Pelodiscus sinensis: one gene and its partners. The protein of the gene in region 3 purifies or fractionates together with the protein of the main gene of each other region. This does not show direct contact. Links are inferred from orthologs where the notes say so. Each region holds a gene or a part of one and is shown on either strand. Other genes may lie near its edges.

Region 1 (7,913 bases), on a different chromosome or scaffold from region 3:
CATTGTATCTGCCTGTATGAGAGCCGGCAACCAGGGGGAAAACCAGCTTTAAGCTTGCTTCTTGCACTAGCCGGTTCCCGCGGAGGCCCCTGTTCCCCACCTCCCCGCTGCCTCCAGAGCAGCCCCAGTCTGTGGGGAGCTTGGTTGTTCCACAGACAAGGGCTGCTGCCATCCCACACTACTGCCTCTTCATCAGAAGTAGCAGCGCAAGGTAGCAGAGAGCTCGGACCGCACTGGATGCCAGCCCCCCCCCCCCCCCCGGGACTATTTTAATAACCATGTAACTACTAAAAACTGTTGCAGCTATACAATTACTAAAATACACGGTATCTAACATCCCTACGTCAAATGCCCTTGCTTTATGTGAATATCACTTTACTAATAATTGGTAGGAAAAAATCTACATGAACGAAAACCAACAGAATCTGGCAACCCTGTGTGTAGAGAACGATAAACAAAATGTCTAGCAGGACACAGAACCCCAATGGGCAGCATGCTGCAAATGGCCCTTCAGGAAACAAGGCATGAAGAACAATAGAATTTCAGAGAATGGAGTGCAGGGAATGTCAACTTCACTTTCTACCATTTAGCTATTGTATTTAGCGAGCAATCAACACCTTAAAAAAAATAAAGATTTTTTTTAACATCCCTCTCAGATATCCCTTTAGTTTGGATAAGACTTGTAATTTCTATACGCCAATTCAAATTATTTTTCCAGAGCCACATAACATTTAATGCTACACATTAATTTGGGAGCATAGACATACTTTTCTATGTGGTTCTCAAAAGTCAGTTAACTGCCCAGAGTGAAACGAAGAAAAAAATAAGCAGATGCATCGCTTTCACATTGGCTGTGTCTAGACTGGCATGATTTTACGCAAATACTTTTAACGGAAAAGTTTTTCTGTTAAAAGTATTTGCGCAAGAGAGCATCTATACAGGCACGTGCCTTTGTGCAAAACATTTGCTTTTGCACAAAAGCATCCGTGCCAGTGTAGACGCTCTCTTGCGCAAGAAAGCTCTGATGGCCATTTTAGCCATTGGGCTTTCTTGCGCAATAAATTAACGTGGCTGTCTACACTGGCCCTCTTGCGCAAGAGGGCTTATTCCTGAGCAAGAGCATTGGAGTATTTGTGCAAGAACCACTGCTTTTGTACATTACAAATTCAGTGTTCTTGCGCAAATAGTCGCAGCCAGTGTAGACAGGCGGCAAGATTTTTGCACAAAATGATTCCAGTCTAAACGCAGCCATATAGTATTACCAATACAATTACATTCTAACCTAAACTACCTGTGTTTCTAGTAGGGATGTAATTGTGTAGTCAATTAACCAATAAACAAAAGATTATAGGTTAATGCCATATACTACATGGATTTCCCCCTCCTCCATCCCCACCAGTAAATTTTTAAGCAGGCTAGCCAGCAGCCAGGCTCAGTCCTTGCTTGCACCAGGTCTGGGACCTACCCCTGCTACAGCTCTGCATTTGAAGTGCATTAGGAGCCAGACAGGCAGCCCAGCTCAGTTCTGACTCACACTGGGTCCAGGAGCTCAGACCCTGTCCCCCACCCTCTCACAGGGATTGCTGCCACTCTGTGCTGCTACCTGTAGATCAGAGGCAGCAGTGCAGGGTAACAGGCAGCAGGTCCACCAGGGAAACTGGTTTTTAAACTGCCTCCCCTCATGAACCAGCTCCCACCTGGCACCCCACGCTGCTGCCTCGGATAAAGAGGCAGCAGCGCATAGTGGCCGAGGGCTTCTTGGGAGTAAGTCACATTGGCTGCTGGCCCTACCCCCAAGGACTACAGAATAGTCAAGTAACTGATAAGAATTCATGAGTTAATCGACTATTCAATTAACGGGTATTTGACATCCCTAGTTTCTAGTCTTTCTACAAGAGATTAAATTCTGCCAGATTTCCCAGTGAGTCTGTAAACCAACTTGCCTGATGAAACAATAGGAATGATTTGAATCCAAGTTCACTAGAAGTGAGAAACTCAGTGCAGACCCACTTTGCCCATTATTCTGACACGTGCAGTGTTACTTTCTGTTTCTGCTTTACTGCCTAACAAAAACGTCAACGTCTCCCCTTTGAGTGTAACTAAGTGCTTGTGTGCGCGACTCATTCTGAAACCCATATGGTTTTTACCAAAGCTAACGAAAGCAGCAGCCATTCACCAAGGTAGAAACAGAACCAAGTGTCAGGCCAGAGTTTTCCCCGGCCAGATTCCCTTCCCGGGACAAACAACGTTCCCTACGCTCGCTGCCGTTTTCTCGCGGAGACATGAGACCCCCCCCAGAGGCGCTTCCTGCTCCCCCAGGGCCTCCCCCCGCCGCGGTGTCTCGCCCAGGCGGAACGGAGCCCAGCGTCCCCTGCAGAGGCCGCGGGGCTCAGACACGCACGGCCCCGCGCCCGCTGCTCAGCCCGGTTACACAACCGCTCGGAGCCAGGCCGCACTGCCCGCCCGCTGCTCCCGGGCCGCGCGCGGCTCCATCCCGCCCGCAGCGAGCGGGCGCCCCGGGCCGGCCAGGCCAGACGCTGCAGCGGCTCCCGCCGCCCCGCGCTGCCCTCGGTTCCCGCCCGGCGCGCGCACCGGCGGCGGCCACGCGGGCTGAGGCGGCAGCGCCCGGGAGAGCCCCTCGCGCCGCCCGGCCCCGCCGATACTCACCTCCCCGCGCCGGGCCCCGCCCCGGGCCACAGCGGAGCCCCGCGAGCGCGTCCAGCCCGCGCCCGGGGCCTCCTCAGCCCATCCCCGCCCCTCCCCCCTTTGTGCGGCTGGGCGGACCCGTTCCGCGCGGGGCCCGGCCTCCTCGGGACGGGCCGCTGCGGGGCGGGGCCGGGCGCCCGGCCGCTGCCGGTGTCTTACCGAGGGATCGGCCGCGAAAGGGCGAGAAAGGAGCCAGTCACCGCCCGGCCCCACTCCCCGCGCGAGCCCCGCGCCACCGACCGAGCAGCGACACAAAATGGCCGCCGCGGCTGAGGCGCCGCCGCGAGGGAGGGGGCTGGCGCGGGCTCTCGGGGGAGGGGCGGGGCCAAGCGGAGGGGAGTGGGGCGGGGTAGAAACAGGGGTCCCCCCCCCCAGGGCGGGGCCTCGGAGGGGGCAGGTGAAGGGGCGGGGCCTCAACTGTGCGCCGGAAGGGGCGGGACGAGGCGGAACTTTCGCGGGTCTCCTTTCCCCTCCCCTTCCGGCACGTGTGAGGCAGGGCCCCGCCCTTCTCTGGGATGCAGGTGGCTAGCGAGGCAGCTGGCCGAGCTGGTACCATCCCCTGCTGCAAGCCTGACCCTGGCTTGCCACCCCCCCCCCCCCCAGGGATTGGCCGAAGAGCCCCTTGATCCTGAAGCAGCTGGGCCCAAGACATCAGCATTGCAGCACCCCACCCCGCAGGGCGTCTATGAGCTACAGCCCCGAAGTTCCCAACCCATCGACCCAACAGAATTCTTCCCCCCATCCTCCTCCTGTTTTTCCTGTTAGTGTTTCATCATGGAGGTGTTAGAGCACTGCAAATGGAGGAAAAGAGAAAGTGAGGAGAGACTGAAAGAAGGTGCGCAAAAACAGCTGTTCTTGGCAAAAACTTGCCCGGTATCTACACTGCACGCATGTTCTTGCACAAGTATATTTACAGTATAGCATTGTAAAACAGGGCATCTTCTGGAAGAGTTATTCTTCTCCCCAGGAGGGATAAGCCCTCCTGTACAAGAGCTCTTCCACAAGAGGGCAGTGTAGACAGGCAACATGAATTTCTCGCGCAAGAAGCCCCTATGGTTAAAATGGCCATCAGAGCTTTCTTGTGCAAGAGAGCATCCACACTGCCATGGATGCTCTTGCGCAAAAGCACATGCCAGTGTAGACGCGCTCTTGTGGAAGACTTTTTGAGCAAGAACTCTTCCGCAAAACAGTTCTTGTGCAAGAAGCTGCTAGTGTAGACATAGCCTGAGGGGGCCCATCACAAGAACTCAAATCTCCAACACAATACCATGCTGTAGTGAAGCTGAGTGACCTTCCATTGAGCTGGAGGATGAAGAGCCAACTTGGTGATTCCTAGTGGTCAGAGCTAAGCCAGGCTTGCCTCTCCCACCAGAACCCAAGGGATGAGAAAGACAGCCTAAAAGACAGAACCCTTGATGCAGTTGAGTCTGAGCCAAAGAAGGGAGTAGATGGCTTCCAGGCCTAGAAAAGAAGGGGAGAGAATAGGGCTACGTCTACATTGGCAAGATTTTGCGCAAATACTTTTAACGCAAGAGTTTTTGCGTTAAAGTATTTGCGCAAGAGCGCGTCTACACTGGCATGTGTTTTTGCGCAAGAGAAAAGCCATTTTAGCCAGCGGGCTTTCTTGCACAAGAAATTCATGTTGCCTGTCTACACTGGCCTCTTGCGCAAGAACACTTGTGCAAGAGGGCTTATTCCTGAGTGGGAGCATCATAGTTCTTGGGCAAGAAGCACTGATTTCTTACATTAGAATGTCAGCGTTGTTGCGCAAGAACTTGTAGCCAATGTAGACAGGTGGCAAGTTTTTGCGCAAAAGTGGCCACTTGTGCACAAAATCTTGCCAATGTAGACACAGCCTAGGGGTTTGCAGAGCCCTGGAGCTGAACCCACACTGCACCAAGCCCTGCCCCTGGAGGAGACTAGCCCAAGTGAGGAGTTGCCAAGTCTGCCATTTGCCACATATCCAAAGTGTGAAGTTGCACCCCCATATTTTTTATGGAACTATTCTTTTGAATATGAACAAGAACTCAGATAAGCTCTATGCAAACTGTGGCACCGTCACTGAAAAGCTTGCAATCTGCTGAATGTGTATATTCTACTGGCTGGACTTACTTGGCATTTCCCGGGAAACTGGAGGAACAAAATTTAGAAAAACAGAAATTGGTCCTGACAGCCTCCAACCACACTGCAGCTGCCAGTGCCTGACATCTGGCCAGTATGGTAGGGGGAGAGACTTTCAGGCAGTCCAGGGCTTTATAAAGCAGTGAGCAACCGACCAAATAGCTTGCAAACAGGTGAGTGCTAACAGCGAATTTAGAGAGGGAGTTCTCCAGGTAAAGGAGAAGCAGATACAGGACTCTTGAGGGGAGTGGTTGTCTGCAGTGTGTGTTGTGTTTGGGGCTTTCTTGCTGTGTGCTGAGCTTGTGTTTGTGAGCGAGGCTTTTTTTTTCTCCCTTCCCCTTTCCCCTCCCCCTCCCGGAGTGTGTGCTGTGACTGGCAGGTGGAAACTGTTGGCTTCTAATTAAAGTTTGAATTGTAGAAACCTCTGCTGATTGGCTGAGCCTTGGTAGGGGGAGGGACTTTCAGGCACTCCAGGGCTTTATAAAGCAGTGAGCAAGGAGCTTGTGAACAGGTGAGTGCTAACAGGGAGTTTAGAGAGGGAGTTGGGAAGGGGGCAAGGTTCTCTTGCCATTCTTTTAAATCCTTTTTCCAGGACAGCAGGTATGGATGGTGATGGGTCTGCTGTTGTTACCTGCACAGCGTGTGCAATGTTTGTCTTCCTCCTGGAAGAAAGAAGGGATTTCATCTGCAATAAGTGCAAGCTGGTCGCCATTTTGGAAGAAAAAATTAGAGGACTGGAGGCCCAAGTGTAGCCCCTACACTTGATCAGAGAGGATGAAGACTTCCTTTATAGAAGGCAGAGTTTAATCCTGAAAGCAAGGCAGGCGGAGGAGCCAGAGAGGGCAGCACAAGACCAGGAAGAGAACTGGTAGCATGTAACTTCTAGAAGGAGAAAAAGGCCAGCACAGGAATCCCCCAGTGCTATAGAGGTAAGTAATCGCTTTTAAGCTCTCTCCACAGGCTCTGCAGTGCTGAATGCTTTGGAAGGGACCTCACAAACAAGAAACCGGAAGGGAACACCATCTACTGGAAGGCATGGGATGTGTAGTCCTAGGGATGGGGGTTCCACAACCATCAACCCCAAAACAAGACAACAGGTGGTGGTGATCGGGGACTCCCTCCTAAGAGGGACTGAGCCATCCATCTGGCTCTCAAGAGGTGTGCTGCTTACCAGGAGCTTGAATTCAGGATGTGACTGAGAGGCTTACAAAACTGATCAAACCTTCAGATCGCTACTCCTTCCTCCTCCTCCACGTGGGAACTAATGATACAGCCAAGAATGAACTTGAGCAGGTTACTGCAGATTATGTAGCACTAGGAAGACGGATCAAAGAATTCGGAGCGCAAGTGGTGTTCTCATCCATCCTCCCTGTTGAAGGAAAAAGACTGGGCAGGGATCATCAAATTGAGGAAGTAAATGTCTGTTTGCACAGGTGGTGTCTCAGAGAGGGCTTTGGTTTCTTTAACCATGGGACTCTGTTCTGGGCACAAGGATTGTTAGGAAGAGATGGGATCCATCTCTTAACGAAAAGAGAAAGGAGCATCTTCACGGGCAGGCTTGCAAACCTAGTGAGGAGGGCTTTAAACTAGGTTTGTTGGGGGACGGTGACCAAAACCCTGAGGGGAGTGGGAAAGTCGGATACCGGGAAGATATGCAAAGAGGAACAAGCAAGAAAGGAGGACCCCTGATTCTAATGGAGAAGATAGGGTGATCAACTGGTTATCTGAGGTGTTTGTACACGAATGCGAGAAGCCTGTGAAACAAACAGGAAGGACTGGTGGCCCTGGCCCAGTCCAAGAAATATGATTTCATTGGGATAACAGAGAGTTGGTGGGATGACTCGCATGACTGGAGCGCTGTCATGGAAGAAAATACAGGACTATGTAGCACTTTAAAGTGCTACATAGTCCTGTATTTTGTTTCAGCTACACCAGACTAACACGGCTACATTTCTATCATTATTCTGTCATGGAAGGGTATAGACTGTTCAGGAAGAACAGGCAGGGGAGAAAAGGAGGAGGAGTTACACTGTATGTAAGAGAGCTCTATGATTGCTCAGAACTCCAGTATATGGAGGAAGGAAAACCTGTTGAGAGTCTATGCGTTAAGTTTAGAGGTGCAAACAACAGCAGTGATGTTGTGGTTGGTGTCTGCTACAGGCCACCGGATCAGGTGGATGAGGTAGCTGAGGCTTTCTTCAGACGACTGGGAGAAGCTTCCAGATCACAGGCCCTGGTTCTCGTGAGGGACTTTAATCACCCTGACATCTGTTCAGAGACCACTTTTTTCTAATTTTTTGGTAGGGAAGTAGGGGATAGGCATTCTGGGTCTGCAAATTCTCATCCAATAGCTGAGTATAGGGATGTGTCAATCAATGGGGCTGGCCCTACTGAATCTGAGAGATTTCAAGGAGACACCTCAAACTCTTCTACCATTTTTTTTTTATGAAACTATGAGTTAACCGGTATAGTCTCTCCTCTAGCACCACTCCCTGGACCAGCTGCCCCTCCCATGGGCTGCATCTCTCACCCCCCACAGGATCTTCCAGTATCAAATCCAGACCAGTGCCAATTTGAGGGATTTCCCCCCCCCTCGCCTTGGATTAATTTCTTACCCACCCAGCATCATCCAGTGCTGCCCCTTGGGCCAGTGCCCCTCAAGGGAGATCCCCCCCCCCCCACAGGCTTCGCTCTCACCTCTGGGTCCCCGATGTGCCTCCTTCCGGACATTTTTTCAAAGTGGCAGCTGAGCGGTAACACAAGCCCTGCCCCCTCCACCTAGAGCAAGCCTCAGCAGCAGCCATGGTTGGCCACCGGGCCCTGAGCCAATGGCAGTATTGAAGAGGGGCCTCCATATGCTTCCAGCAATGGCGGGGTAGCCGCTTCTCCCTGCACTGCCAAGCTCCATGCAGCCCCCGGGGAGAGGTGTCGGTCTCTCATCTCTTCCCTCCCACAATACCTTAAAACCTTCTCCTGGAAGAAAGGTTAGCCCATGGAAAGTTTGGTTGTGGTAGCTCTTATAGTGTCCAAGTTATTAGAGCACAAACATACTTCTTTATATATTAGATTTGTGTGCATGTATCAGT
Region 2 (7,754 bases), on a different chromosome or scaffold from region 3:
AGCAAGGATGGGGAATCCTTTCAGGGTCAGGGGCCACTAATGCACAGAAAAATCAGTCGGGGGCAGCACACACGAAAGAAGCAAAAAAATCCTCATTGACACGGCCCTTGACTAAGAAGGAGAATGACACTCCCCATATTCCCCTTGCACACCAGGGCCTAGGAAGGCCCAGGCTAGTAGATTTTGAATGCTCCAGCTCCATGGGAGGCAGCAGGAGGGGGGAGGCTGGAGTGCTAGCTTGGGCTCCCCAATGCTGGGGATTGGGGGGAGGAGTCCCAAGCCTCGGAGGCCAGATCCAGGCAAGCCAGGGGCAGCATCCGGCCCCAGGCTCTCCACCCCAGGATCCATTATTATTGAGAGCAACAAGATTAGACACTTTCTATCAGAAAGAATGAAAATGTGAAAGGGATACTGATCTACATGACTGATAGCATCCCCCACTTATTAACTGATAGATGTGAAGAATAAACATCTTCTGAAGCTGTGAGCAATAACCAATGTTGGAGACAGAAGACAAGACAAGACAGACTATAGGTCTGATCCATTATAGCAACATTTCCTTCAAACTGATTACTGAGACCGTACTTCCAAACCAGGTTGCATTACTAAAATTGGATTGTCTGATTTTACTCCAAGTAAACAGTTACTGGAAGACTAAACCCTAATCTACACTACAGAATTACTTTGGTATGACTGCATTGCTCAGGGAGTGTGAATAATCCACATCCCTGAGCAACATCATTATACCAACCTAAGCACTGGTGTAGCTACCACTGTCAATGAGAACTTCTCCAGCGGATATAATAATTCACCTCTGCAAGAAGCAGTGATTAAGCCAACAGGAGAAAATCTCTCCCACTAGCTTAGAGCATCATCATAATAGCACTAAAGTAATCGATACAGCATTTTAAATAAGTGTTAAACAGTGTCCATATTAGTGTTGCTGACTTGCCCTTCCAATCTATCTTACTTCAAATCCTAGCTCTAACACAATTGGTGTGTGACCTGGCCAAGTCACAAGATTGGTGCTTCCATTTCCCCGCTCCCACGCGCACTGTTAAACGTACTTACCTTACAATAAGAATTAATTGTAATGCGTGGAAACTTTTATTAATGAATACTATATCAAGTTCTCAAATTTGTGAAATCTCCTTACACCTTAAAACAAAACTGGATCCTTGAGTTATTACTTCAGTTACACAAGAATACACTTAACCATCTAGCATGTGACTCTGTATGCCAGAGTATTCTGAATAAGTTTTTCATTTAATATCATAGTTAACAAATATTTTAGCAGACAGACTGTTATAATAAACACATACCAGTGCCAAAGAGAATAATCTAACATCTGGAAATGCCAGATTAAAATATTAGTTTCTTTCATGACTTTCAATTTAATGTTTGGCGAGATGATTTCCTAACATTCTATAATCACTTCAGTTGATGTTTTAAAAATAAGACTATTCACCAAATTAGTATATGGACTGAATTAAGATATGTTATTTTTTAATACAAACCCCCAAAAAATGAAGCTTCAGATGGCTCATGGTATTTTTGCCTAATTAAGCATCGTATGTCTTCCTTACCATTTTTGTAAGTAGTCCAGTGCTTCCAAACGAGCACCAATCTCGAACGTGATCCCTGGACGACTTGGAGGCTTTTTACTCATCCTGGTAACTTCTATTTCCTTTATCCCCCTATCTTTGGAGAAAAATGTTTTTATATTACAAAGCAGAAAGCACTGTTGTTTAAAAGTACAATTAGCATTCCAAAAGTATATATTTTACCCACACGAAGAGAGATCTATAATAAATAATAGCACTTATCACTGGAAGATCTAATAATGCACTAAAATTGGAAATGTTTAGATCGTTGTGCTTATTTCCCCCCTCCCCCACACACACCCACAAACAAGTACACCATCAATCTGCAATCGTTTACTTTAAAAAAGAAATGAAAATTTGCTCTAATAATATATTTGGCCATAATTCATGATCAGTTCTAGTAATTTCATAATCACACTTCCCTAAGTTCCCCCTGCCCAGTTACTGCATGAAAAGTCATACAATCAAGAGGGGAAAGGGACAGTCTATACAGAGGAAAGAATGACCACTACAGAAGCGTACTAAGCAACCACAATAAAAAGGCAATACATAAAAAATATTGATTTCCCTACAATCTCTATAAAAAAATATTGCATTGTATGTGCTTCCAGGGTAGCTAAGAACATTTCATCCAAAAGCACAAGTTATTTTAATTTGACAAGGTAAGATCTTCCTCCCAAGGGCTTAGGCTGGTCTGTTTTGTGAGTAACATCCAAGCCCTGTTCTGGTCCGTGTGCGAGGTGGGAGGGAGAGTCTCAAGAGGGGGGCCACTCTCTTTATGTGGACTGAGGGAGGAATGCGAGGGAAGCCACCAGCCCTGCTCTGTTGTGTCTGGGTGGTGGGAGGGTGAGGAAGATCGCCCAGCCCTGGGCCCCTAGGACTGTCTGGGCTGGCGGGGGGGACACAGGGGAGGCCCAAGCCCTGGACCGCTCCATGTCTCTGGGGAGGAGAAGGGGAGCCCGGAGTCCCTGGCGGAGGCGGGGAGGAGCCCCCAGGCATCAGCCACTTGGGGGGCAAGGGGAGGTTTGAAATCGCAGGCCCGGTGGAGGAAGCCTCCGCGCAGGGGCAGGGGGGCGGGGCGCACCCGGGGCCCCGGGGGGGGGGGGGGGAAGAGAGGCCCGGGGCCGGCTCGAGCCCCCTGCACCCCGCTCTGCTTACCGCCTTCTCCGCCTCCCACGGCAGCCGCTGGGCCTGGCGCCCGATCCCGGCCCGGCGCCCGAGCCGCAAGCCCAGCCGGCTCCGCAGGCCGCGGCGCCTCCCGCTCCGACCGGGCCCGGGGGGTGAGCAGCTCGCTGCGGGGTGCGCCTCCCTCACAGCCCCATCGTCGCCCTCTCCCAGCGCCGCGCCCCGCCCCTCGCGCCCCAGCGCCCAGCCGATGCGTCACCTCCCTGCGACCAGCCGAGTCGGAGCCGGGCGCCTCCATCGGACCCCTCACGTGACCGGGGAGCTGCCGCGCCGCGTGACATCCGCTTTGCGGCGGGGGGGCGGAGCACCGGAAGTGGAATCCTGGGAAGGGAGGGGGCGGGTTTGGTGTTTGGGAGGGAGTTATGGGAATAAGAGGGGTGGGCGGGGCAGGGGTGTAATGCGGCTGTGGGGGGTGCTGGGAACGGGGAGGGCAGGGGTGTCATGCGGCTGTGGGGGGTGCTGGGAATGGGGAGGGCGGGGGTGTCGTGCGGCTGTGGGGGTGCTGGGAATGGGGAGGGCAGGGGTGTCGTGCGGCTGTGGGGGGTGCTGGGAACGGGGAGGGCAGGGGTGTCGTGCGGCAGGGGGGGTGCTGGGAACGGGGAGGGCAGCGGTGTCGTGCGGCTGTGGGGGGTGCTGGGAACGGGGAGGGCAGGGGTGTCGTGCGGCTGTGGGGGGTGCTGGGAACGGGGAGGGCAGGGGTGTCGTGCGGCTGTGGGGGGTGCTGGGAACGGGGAGGGCAGGGGTGTCGTGCGGCTGTGGGGGGTGCTGGGAACGGGGAGGGCAGGGGTGTCGTGCGGCTGTGGGGGGTGCTGGGAACGGGGAGGGCAGCGGTGTCGTGCGGCTGTGGGGGGTGCTGGGAATGGGGAGGGCAGGGGTGTCGTGCGGCTGTGGGGGGTGCTGGGAATGGGGAGGGCAGGGGTGTCGTGCGGCTGTGGGGGGTGCTGGGAACGGGGAGGGCAGCGGTGTCGTGCGGCTGTGGGGGGTGCTGGGAACGGGGAGGGCAGCGGTGTCGTGCGGCTGGGGGGGGTGCTGGGAACGGGGAGGGCAGGGGTGTCGTGCGGCTGGGGGGGGTGCTGGGAACGGGGAGGGCAGGGGTGTCGTGCGGCTGTGGGGGGTGCTGGGAACGGGGAGGGCAGGGGTGTAGTGCGGCTGCGGGGGGTGCTGGGAACGGGGAGGGCAGGGGTGTCGTGCGGCTGTGGGGGGTGCTGGGAACGGGGAGGGCAGGGGTGTCGTGCGGCTGCGGGGGGTGCTGGGAACGGGGAGGGCAGCGGTGTCGTGCGGCTGTGGGGGGTGCTGGGAACGGGGAGGGCAGCGGTGTCGTGCGGCTGTGGGGGGTGCTGGGAACGGGGAGGGCAGCGGTGTCGTGCGGCTGTGGGGGGTGCTGGGAACGGGGAGGGCAGCGGTGTCGTGCGGCTGTGGGGGGTTCTGGGAACGGGGAGGGCAGGGGTGTCGTGCGGCTGTGGGGGGTGCTGGGAACGGGGAGGGCAGGGGTGTCGTGCGGCTGTGGGGGGTGCTGGGAACGGGGAGGGCAGGGGTGTCGTGCGGCTGGGGGGGGTGCTGGGAACGGGGAGGGCAGCGGTGTCGTGCGGCTGGGGGGGGTGCTGGGAACGGGGAGGGCAGCGGTGTCGTGCGGCTGCGGGGGGTGCTGGGAATGGGGAGGGCGGGGGTGTCGTGCGGCTGTGGGGGGTGCTGGGAACGGGGAGGGCGGGGGTGTCGTGCGGAAGTTGGGGGTGCTGGGAATGGGGAGGGCAGGGGTGTCGTGCGGCAGTGGGGGTTCTGGGTCAGTGCTGTGGGGAGGGGGTGGTTTGGAGTATAAATTAATGGGGGATGAGGTAAGTGTTATGGTGAGAAGTGTGTGGGGTATAAGTGGTAAGGGGATGAGGGTCATTATTTTGGAGGTGGAAAAAGATTGAGGTATGTTAGGGGATGAGGGCTTGTGTTATGGGGTGGGACTCATACAGTTACCTACATGCATCCAGCTCCCATCCAGAACACACCACGCGATCCATCGTCTATAGCCAAGCCCTTCGATACAACCGCATCTGCTCTAATCCCACTGACAGAGACCAGAAGCTGCAGGATCTCTACCAAGCATTTATAAATCTCAACTACCCACCCAGAGAAATAAAAAAGCAAATTGAAAGAGCCAGACGAATACCTAGAAACCATCTACTTCAAGACAGACCCAAGAAAACCAACAATAGAACACCACTTGTCATCACCTACAACCCCCAACTTAAACCTGTCCAACACATTATCAATAAACTACAGCCTATATTGGAACAGGATACCATACTCAAAGAGGCTCTGGGAGACAGACCCATAGTCTCCTATAGACAACCACCTAACCTCAAGATGATTCTTACCAACCACCACAGGACATACCACACTAATACCAACCCTGGTATCTTCCCTTGCAACAAACCCCGTTGCCAGCTTTGTCCACATATTCATTCTGCTGATACCATTATTGGACCTAACCAAGTGAGTTATAAGATCAAGAACACATATTCCTGCGCATCCAGAAATATAATCTATGCTATCATGTGCCGAAAGTGTCCGTCTGCTATGTACATTGGACAAACATCTCAGACACTTCGCCAAAGGATTAATGCCCACAAAACAGATATCAGACAAGATCACAAAGAGAAAACAGTTTCTTGCCATTTTAACCAGAAAGGACAATCTCTCTGACTTGACCACCTGCATTCTGCTACAAAGACCTTTTACATCTGCACTTGAAAGGGAATCCTCTGAACTGTCATTCATGTTAAAATTCGACACTTGCCAACAAGGACTTAACAAACATTTGAACTATCTCACCCATTACCAAGACAGTTTCCCCAATTATCACCTCTAATACCATTAACTCACAAACATCCCACTCTCCCCACCTCTAATATCATCAATTCACAGACACCTTCCTTCCTCTCCCCCCCCCCCCCCCGCATCCTCCTCCTGTTCTGCAATGTGATTTGTCCTTTTCATATTTGTTCATTTTTTTTAATTGTATCCTTTGGTATATATGGTTGTGACTACTTTCTTCCACTATTTGATCTGAGGAAGTGGGTCTGGCCCACGAAAGCTCATCATCTAATAAACCATCTTGTTAGTCTTTAAAGTGCTACATTGTCCTGCATTTTGCTTCAACTACCCCAGACTAACACGGCTACATTTCTATCACTATAATTAGAGGGGTGAGAGTTAGTTGGTGAGGCGGTAGGAAGAGGTAAGGGCTGGAATGAGGAGGGTTGTGGTGTAAGACTGCAATGTCTGTGGGGTTATGATGCAATGAGAAGAGAAAGGGATGGGGATAAGTTTATGGTTTAATATTGGTAGGGGATGGGGATAAGTTTATGGTTTAATATTGGTAGACAATAAAGGGTTGAATTTGTTTCCTGGCTCATGGTAAATTTTTATAGCGGGTTTATAGTGGTGGATGACAGTTAGTAATCCATGGAGTTTTCTGGATGCTGAAGCCATATGAAGAAAAGATGTAAGAGCTTCTGAGTGCTGCTGTCATCTCCTTGGAAATAGCAGCAGGAGAAAGCATAATGTTTTTCATGCGACACTTTCATTAAGATTTTCACAAAGCATGGGCTAAGGCAGTGGTTCTCAAACTTTTTGGCCTGTGGCCCATCTGGCTCAATGCAAACCTTTCTGAGGACCACCAGTTGCTAATAGAAACTCACCATTAATTACATAATTATGCCTGTTTTGCTAGTGCTGCAGCTAGGGAGAATGGTTTAATTTAACTGGTAGGAAAGGAAGTACTACTTTAAATTATTAAACAGATTAAGCACTTTAACTTTCTCATGTTAGTTTATCAAATGTCTTTTTAAATAAAGTTAAATATTATGTCCAACAGAAAAGGTTTCAATATTATCTTTATTTATGGTGTGTGGGAGGAACCTTTTCTTATGCTAGGGGGCCACCCACCCATAGAAAAATCAGTTCGGGGGGCACACAAATGAGAAATAAAAGATCCCCAATCCTCACAGATGTGGTTTCCATCGGAGAAACCTCACTTCTCTGGTATTCCAGACCTGTGGTGGAGAGAGCTCAGGGAGGACTGAGGTCCAATACCTCAGGCCAAATTTACTCTTCTGGGCTATGTCTACACTCGCGGCTTCTTGCGCAAGTATAGCCATTCTTGCGCAGGAATCTTCAGAGTGTCCACACTGCCTGCCGGCTTTTGCGCAAGGAAATTTACAGTACGGCGTGGTAAGAGGGCTTCCTACGCAAGAGCTATGCTCTTTTTTTTAAAAAAAAAAGGGTTAAGCCCTCTTGCGCAGGAGCTCTTGTGCGAGAGGGCAGTGTGGACGCTCAGCAGGGATTTCTTGCGCAAGAAACCCCTATGGCTAAAATGGCCATCAGAGTTTTCTTGCGAAAGAGACCGTCCACACAGCTCACGCATGGCAGTGTGGACGTTTTCTTGTGCAAGAATTCTTGCACAAGAACCCTTGCGCAAGAAGCCACCAGTGTAGACATAGCCCCTGGTGTTCCAGGGTTAGTGATTTTATGGAGCTGGGTCCAGTAGGGAGACTCAGGCTATGTCTACGCTCACGGCTTCTTGTGGCAGAAATATGCAAATGAGGCTAAGTGGAATATTGCCGAGCCTCATTTGCATACCTAATGAGATGCCATTTTGCAGAAAAGGCTCTTACGCCAGATGGAGCTGTCTACACTGCCCCTTCTTGCGCAAGAAAACCCCTCTTGCGCAATGCCGTTTTTCCTGAAAATAATCAGTGTAATGGCATTGCACAAGAGAGGTTTTCTTGTGCAAGGGGCAGTGTAGACAGCTCCTTCTGGTGCAAGAACCTCTTCTGCAAAAATGGTGGCTCATTAGGTATGCAAATGAGGCTCGGTGATATTCCACGCTTAGCCTCATTTGCATATTTTGACTGCAAGGAACTGCGACTGTAGACATAGCCCCGGGGTCCCCTCCTCCTACAGGAAGCTGGT
Region 3 (7,749 bases):
AGATGCCAGGCCAATGCCCTGGGCCACTCACCGCCTCATGCTCCTTCTCCAGGGCAGCTGTGGTGGGATCCATCTCTGCGTAGGTCTATGAGGAGACAACCCAGTATCAGGCAGCTGCCACACTGCATCACAGAGTTTAACTGAGGCCACACTGAACCTTCCACCCCAACCCCTACAGCATAGCGCCCCCTGGTGTCAGCACTGACTAGGAGGGAAGACTGCTCCCCTTTGAGCTCCCCAGCCCTGATCCAGGCAACATCCCTTCCCCCCAGTGCACTTGCCTTCTGAACATGGTTGATCTCGTCATGTTTGCGCTTCTGGTTGCGGGTGATCTTACGCTCGGGTTGCTCTGACAGCTCGTTCATGTACTGGTCTGTGTTCTTCTGCACTGCATCTTTGACTGTCTTGGTGAGGGCCAGCCGGTTCTTATCTACCCATTCATCCAGGCGCCGGTTGACTGTGGTTAAGATGGGGCAGTAAGGAACCTATCCAGCTTCTATCTGTAGAGTGACAGTCTCACCATGTCCCAAAACACTCAACACCTGGGCACTGGAACCAAATGGTCCTGATTTTAGCCCTCTAGAAATCACACCCCTGCCAAAGTCAGGTAGAGCAGACATATCCTTAGATCTCCAGTGCTATAGAAGGGCAAAGTCCTCTTTGCCCCTAGGAAATCCTGTAATGAGGAATTCTGCAGGGTAATTTCCCATAGATTTGTGGGGGTATGGGTGAGAGACTCATGGTAAAGGTGAAAATGAGGCAGTTATGAATATGAACTATGGGGAGGAAAGGAATTAACAATATCACACTCTTAGGTGCTTCCATAGTGAACTTAGTAAATAGTCACCCACATTAATCCCCCTCCACAGGAACAAAACCCAGGGCCGTACTCACATCCGACATAGTGCACATAGTATTCCTCCCGGGCCTCCTGCTCGTTGAGTCGTGACTGAATCACCTCGGCTGAGTCTGCAAGACAATCACCAGGTTAGTGCCAGCTTAGATGAGCAGAGGAAGTAAGAACGAGTGGGTTAGGTGCAATGTCTGCCCTGAAAAATGGTAGCCCTTTTACACTGAATGACAGACAAATGCTTTACTAAGGTAAACAATGAGAAGTCCTTTATGGACTAACAGATTTACTGGAGCACAAGCTTTCGTGGGCAAAGACCCACTTCGTCTCATGCATCTGACTAAGTGGGTCTTTGCCCTCCAAAGCTTATGCTCCAATAAATCTGTTTGTCTATAAGGTGCTACAGGACTTCTCGTTGTTTATGCAGATTCAGACTAACATGGCTACCCCTCTGATCCTTTACTAAGGACACATCCGTCTCAGGGGGAAAAGCCTTCTTAGTGCAGAATTAGAGCACCCACCCATAGAACTCACGTGGAATAACAGCTATGCTTTAGATTTACCCTCTGGTTTATTTTCCAATAGCTTCCCCATGAAATCTCAGAGATTTAGGACATATTTAAATTTCTCCTATTTCAGGCAGTTCTATAATGTCAGTTTACACTGGTGCAGTGAAAAAGAGTGGGAATGGGACGTATTGGGAGGGGGAAGCCTTTATGCCATGTCCTGTGGGCACATGGTTGGGAAAGTCTGAGGGCTAAGTGGCACTGGTGATCAGAGAGATCAGGACCTACTTTCACAAGAGGGGCAGGTCTCTCACCCCAGGACCCGTCTGTGCGGCAACACAGAGCTAGAGGATGAAGGGGGAGAGCTGGAAGCCCTGGGCTTATCCTGACTAAAGATGTTAAATTGCAGTTAATTGACTAGTTGATGGAGTTTCCATCAGCTCGTCGGTAGGCACCTGCTGGGGCTCTTGTACATTTCGAAGGAGGAATGTGGAACTCTGCAGGCAGCAGGAAGTCTTTGGGCTGCACTGGGACAGCTTTGAAATGTACAAGACTCTCCAGCAGGGGCTCTTGTGTATTTCAAAGCCACAGTGCCCTCATGGAGCCGAGGTCAGGACTAGCTGGGGAAGGGGGGGGGGTACGGGATGGAGGGATGGACGAGGACTCAGAGTCCCCTGCTGACCCCGGGGCTCCATGCTGGCGGCATGTCTGGCTCAGCTGTGCAGCGCTGCTGCTTTGAAATGCCCCTTCTCCCCCCCCCCCGCGTTGCTCTGATACAGCAAAGGGGGGGTGGGGGGGGGAGTCGACTAGTCCTGCACATTTCCAATCCCGACAGGGCTTCTCTGGGGCCGGGTCTCTCCCACAGGGGCTGGGGGCGGCGCAATGGGAGTGAGGGCAACAGGCGGGCCCAGAGGAGAGTGCGGGGGGGGGGGGGGGCCCTGGCGGCCCCAGGCACAGGCCAGAGACCGGGCTCAGGGCGGAGGGGAACCCGGGGGAGCAGGGCCCAAAGGGGTTAGCCGGGGGGGAGGGGTTAGGACGGGGGGTGGAGGGAGTCCCGGGGGGAGTCCCGGCGGGGGGGGGGGGAGTTCCGGGAGCGGTTCCGGGGGGGGAGTCCCGGCGGGGGGGGGGGGGGGGTGGGGCGGAGGGAGGGGTCCCGGGGGGGGTGGTGTCCCGGCGGGGGGGGGGGGTGTCCCGGGGGGTTTCCCGGCGGGGGGGAGGGGGTCCCGGCGGGGGGGGGAGTCCCGGGGGGGTCCGGCGGGGGGGGGGGGGGGACTCACGCCAGGTCCCGTCCGCGCGCCGGCACAGGTAGGTCTCCCCGATCTCCACGGTGACCTCGGCCTCGCGCGGCGGCCCCGGGCTCAGGGTCCGGGCCTCGCGCTCCTCCTCGCCGCCCGGCCCGGGGGGGGCTCCCGCCGCCCGGCTCGGCCGCCATGACAGGCCGGAAGCGCCTCGCGAAAACAAACCGCCGCCCGCCCGCGCGTGGCGGGCGCCCGGAGGTGACGTCACGCGCACCGCGTCACGTGCCCGCGGCAGCCGCGGGGCCAGGGTCTCGAAGGGAGGCGGCAGGACGGCACCCTCCCGGCATGCACCGCGCCCTGCGTCCCCAGCCTCCCGGCATGCACCGCGCCCTGCGTCCCCAGCCTCCCGGCATGCACCGCGCCCTGTTCCCTTCATGCTGCGCCCGGTACCCCAGTGTCCCCCCCCCACCCCAGCATGCACCGCGCCCCGTACCCCAGTGTCCCCCCCATCCCAGCATGCACCGCGCCCCGTACCCCAGTGTCCACCCCCAATCCCATCATGCACCGCGCCCCGTACCCCAGTGTCCCCCCCCCACCCCAGCATGCACCGCGCCCGGTACCCCAGTGTCCCCCCCCACCCCAGCATGCACCGCGCCCCGTACCCCAGTGTCCCCCCCCCACCCCAGCATGCACCGCGCCCCGTACCCCAGTGTCCCCCCCATCCCAGCATGCACCGCGCCCCGTACCCCAGTGTCCCCCCCCCATCCCAGCATGCACCGCGCCCCGTACCGCCAGTGTCCCCCCCCATCCCAGCATGCACCGCGCCCCGTACCCCAGTGTCCCCCCCCCATCCCAGCATGCACCGCGCCCCGTACCCCAGTGTCCCCCCCCATCCCAGCATGCACCGCGCCCCGTACCCCAGTGTCCCCCCCATCCCAGCATGCACCGCGCCCCGTACCCCCAGTGTCCCCCCCCATCCCAGCATGCACCGCGCCCCGTACCCCCAGTGTCCCCCCCATCCCAGCATGCACCGCGCCCCGTACCCCAGTGTCCCCCCCATCCCAGCATGCACCGCGCCCCGTACCCCAGTGTCCCCCCCCATCCCAGCATGCACCGCGCCCCGTACCCCAGTGTCCCCCCCCATCCCAGCATGCACCGCGCCCCGTACCCCAGTGTCCCCCCCCATCCCAGCATGCACCGCGCCCCGTACCCCAGTGTCCCCCCCCATCCCAGCATGCACCGCGCCCCGTACCCCCAGTGTCCCCCCCATCCCAGCATGCACCGCGCCCCGTACCCCCAGTGTCCCCCCCATCCCAGCATGCACCGCGCCCCGTACCCCAGTGTCCCCCCCATCCCGGCATGCACCGCGCCCCGTACCCCAGTGTCCCCCCCATCCCGGCATGCACCGCGCCCCGTACCCCCAGTGTCCCCCCCCATCCCGGCATGCACCGCGCCCCGTACCCCAGTGTCCACCCCCAATCCCGGCATGCACCGCGCCCCGTACCCCCAGTGTCCCCCCCAATCCCGGCATGCACCGCGCCCCGTACCCCCAGTGTCCCCCCCATCCCAGCATGCACCGTGCCCGGTACCCCAGTGTCCCCCCCCAATCCCAGCATGCACCGCGCCCCGTCCCCCAGTGTCCCCCCCAATCCCAGCATGCACCGCGCCCCGTCCCCCAGTGTCCCCCCCAATCCCAGCATGCACCGCGCCCGGTACCCCAGTGTCCCCCCCCCATCCCAGCATGCACCGCGCCCGGTACCCCAGTGTCCCCCCCCCATCCCAGCATGCACCGCGCCCCGTACCCCAGTGTCCCCCCCCATCCCAGCATGCACCGCGCCCCGTACCCCAGTGTCCCCCCCATCCCAGCATGCACCGCGCCCCGTACCCCCAGTGTCCCCCCCAATCCCAGCATGCACCGCGCCCCGTACCCCCAGTGTCCCCCCCAATCCCAGCATGCACCGCGCCCCGTACCCCCAGTGTCCCCCCCAATCCCAGCATGCACCGCGCCCCGTACCCCCAGTGTCCCCCCCAATCCCAGCATGCACCGCGCCCCGTACCCCCAGTGTCCCCCCATCCCAGCATGCACCGCGCCCGGTACCCCAGTGTCCCCCCCATCCCAGCATGCACCGCGCCCTGTACCCCAGTGTCCCCCCCATCCCAGCATGCACCGCGCCCTGTACCCCAGTGTCCCCCCATCCCAGCATGCACCGCGCCCTGTACCCTAGTGTCCCCCCCAATCCCAGCATGCACCGCGCCCCGTACCCCAGTGTCCCCCCCAATCCCAGCATGCACCGCGCCCCGTACCCCAGTGTCCCCCGCCATCCCAGCACGCACCGTGCCCCGTACCCCAGTGTCCACCGCCATCCCAGCACGCACCGTTCCCAGTACCCCAGTGTCCACCCCCATCCCAGCATGCACCGTTCCCAATACCCCAGTGTCCACCCCCATCCCAGCATGCACCGCGCCCCGTACCCCAGTGTCCACCCCCATCCCAGCATGCACCGTTCCCATTCCCCAGCGCCCTTTCCTGTCACCGCCACCCCTTGCACAGAACCCAGGAATCTGGCTCCCAGCCCCCCGGGAAAAGGGGCCAGGCATCCTGCCTACTCCCCCCCCCCCCTCTTTCCCCACCCGTGCACTCACCAGGTAATCAGACCGGGCACGGCAGGGGTGTTGAAACGGGTGTGATTTATTGGGGTTTTACGTCAAAGGAAACATCACCCGCGCGCCCGTACAGTCAGTCAACACAAGACAACCACAGACAGGGAGGAGCCATCCTAGGTTCCTTCCCCTTCCAAACATGACAACATCCAACGTGATTCCATCATAATGACTCAAGTATGAGCACAACATTGTTGCCTTCTCTCCATGGACCAGCCAACAGCATATGAGCATGACTAGTACTGACAGCTCAAGTTAATCTCTGATATTACTGTAAGCATTTTCTTTAGCCCTTTGATTTGAATTGCCAATAGCCCATGGGTGTAGTTTGGCTAATGACCAGAATATCTGTTTGGATTACATTTAAATTAAAAACCCCCCTAAAACCTGCTAAATTCACAAAACAGAATTAGGGTGATCTAAGGCTATCGCCCAGTATTACTAGAATATACAATACAATCCTTTACTACGTGACCACTCAACAATGGCCCATTTGAGCATAACACTTGGCCAAGCAACACTGGACAGCATGTAACACTAGGGATACGCATCTTTATCCACCACAGCCTCAGTTACAAGGAGGTAGTAATTTGAATCTCTGTCTACAGTCCCCAAATTATATCATAATTCATTCATGTAGTGTACTTAATGCCCTCTAGTGGCAGGTCTATTTACAGTATTAATACTTATACCATGCTTTTAAATATTAACTGAAAATACTCAGGTCAGTAGTGTTATCACCCTATTTAAGAGGGGGGAAAACAGAGTGAAGAAATTACTTGCCTGCTTATGGTCAGCAGCAGACACAGAAACAACCCAGGAGACCTGATTCTCAGTCCTTCCTGCTCTCACTAGACCACATTCCCCACCCCTAGAGGAGAATACCGGCCTCCAGTTCTCTTTTGGGCGCTTGTCTAGATGGGGACACTGACCAAAATTGATGTGGAACAAGTTCCCCATGTGGCCACTCTCCTCTGGGATAATTAGTGAGCTTATGAAACAGAGCACTTATGCAGGAATCAAATCCCTCTTCTCCCAGAAGAGAGAACCCACCCATGACTGCAGTAGCTTCTGTTTCCCAATGCAGATAAGCCCTCTCTCTTCTGCTGCAATGGATGGAACCTGCTACAATGACTTGGTGCGATGAGGTTAATACTGAGGTGGGGAGTTTAGATTTGAATTCTACCCACTCCTTCCTTCAACTACTTATAAATCTCCACCATAGCACCAGAGCAGAGCAGGGCTGGTATTGTTCCCAATACACAAACACAGAACTAGCATACACAAGGCGATATAACACAGTCAAAATTCCAAGAACACTGCCTTTGGTACTGTTCAGAGTCTACAGTCTGTTAGTCTCTAGAACGGAAGGGTTCTCAATTGCAGAAAGTTATTTCGAGTAGGCTTCACTTAAATTTAGTGTGGCAATAACTAACCAGTAGGCTCTCTGCTTGGGAGCTCTGATCCCAACAGGAGAGTACTGAACAGTTGTATATAACCAGCTGCCCTAGACAAGAGGGGCACCCCAGAGCAGTCTGGCTCTGGGAAAGGTTCAAACATACTAAAGTAGTATCTCTCAGGCTGGGAGCAACTTGCTGGGAACACAACTCCAGAGCGCTGACTCCTTTCACTAAGCCACTAGACCCCCCTCCCCAACCTCTCACTAGGAACCGAACCCCGGAGTCTCCACTGCCAGCCACCCTGTTCTATCTCGCTCCCCTCCTAGAGTTCAGGGTAGAACCTAGGACTCCAGACTGATACTCTGCCTCCTTACCAGATCCAGAAAGAAAACCTAGGAGTCCTGTCCCCCTTTGCTCTACCCACTAAATTCCACTCCCCTTCCAAAGCCATGGAGTCCTGATTGCCAGTCCCTACCCCCACCCTAACCACTAGATCCCACTCCCACAGCTGCAGGAAATCTAGTCGAGGAATTCCAGTGCTCCAATGCAGGAGGTTCAAGGAATTCCCGTCCTAAGTCAGGAGGACGTTAACCCCCCCCAGTGTCAGGACGGCCACCGGTTCCTCTCCTTGGTGCAGCTTCTGGTGGCGGGTGAATTGCTGCTTATAGCGGAAGCTCTTCCCACAGACGCTGCAGCCGTAGGGCTTCTCCCCAGTGTGGATGCGCCGGTGCTTGACCAGTTTGGAGTTGACGTAAAAGCCACGCCCGCAGTCGGGGCAGCGGAAGGGCTTCTCGCCGGTGTGGATGCGCTGGTGCTCGATGAGGGTGGAGCTCTGGCTGAAGCGCTTGCCGCACTCGGTGCACTCGTAGGGCCGCTCCCCGGTGTGGGTGCGGTGGTGGGACACCAGGTGGGTCTTCTTCTTGAAGCGCTTGCCGCACTCGCCGCAGGCGAAGGGCTTCTCCCCGGTGTGGGTGCGCTCGTGCTTGATGAGGTTGGAGCTGAGGCTGAAGCACTTGCCGCACTCCCGGCAGCCGTAGGGCTTCTCGCCCGTGTGGGTGCGCAGGTGTTTCACCAGGTTGGAGGTGCGGCTGAAG

The links.
Region 1: the proteins of KAT8 (region 3) and PHF20 purify together in Homo sapiens (affinity purification with mass spectrometry; 3 studies listed by BioGRID and IntAct, counting the BioPlex papers as one, with this or other methods). This does not show direct contact. The link is inferred for Pelodiscus sinensis from reciprocal best matches to the Homo sapiens genes KAT8 and PHF20.
Region 2: the proteins of KAT8 (region 3) and PHF20L1 purify together in Homo sapiens (affinity purification with mass spectrometry; 3 studies listed by BioGRID and IntAct, with this or other methods). This does not show direct contact. The link is inferred for Pelodiscus sinensis from reciprocal best matches to the Homo sapiens genes KAT8 and PHF20L1.

What each region holds. Positions count from the first base shown.
Region 1 is NC_134728.1:32,240,972-32,248,884, reverse strand, and holds the start of PHF20 (PHD finger protein 20), read right to left. Parts: upstream 3,022-7,913; 5' UTR 2,866-3,021; intron 1-2,865. UniProt on the Homo sapiens protein: Methyllysine-binding protein, component of the MOF histone acetyltransferase protein complex.
Region 2 is NC_134712.1:13,904,829-13,912,582, forward strand, and holds the start of PHF20L1 (PHD finger protein 20-like protein 1), read right to left. Parts: upstream 3,057-7,754; 5' UTR 3,028-3,056; coding exon 2,763-3,027; intron 1,702-2,762; coding exon 1,587-1,701; intron 1-1,586.
Region 3 is NC_134714.1:131,608,133-131,615,881, reverse strand, and holds the start of KAT8 (histone acetyltransferase KAT8), read right to left. Parts: upstream 3,046-7,749; 5' UTR 3,031-3,045; coding exon 2,634-3,030; intron 970-2,633; coding exon 895-969; intron 458-894; coding exon 282-457; intron 86-281; coding exon 32-85; intron 1-31. Other genes in the region: uncharacterized protein LOC142829375, read right to left, coding at 7,227-7,749.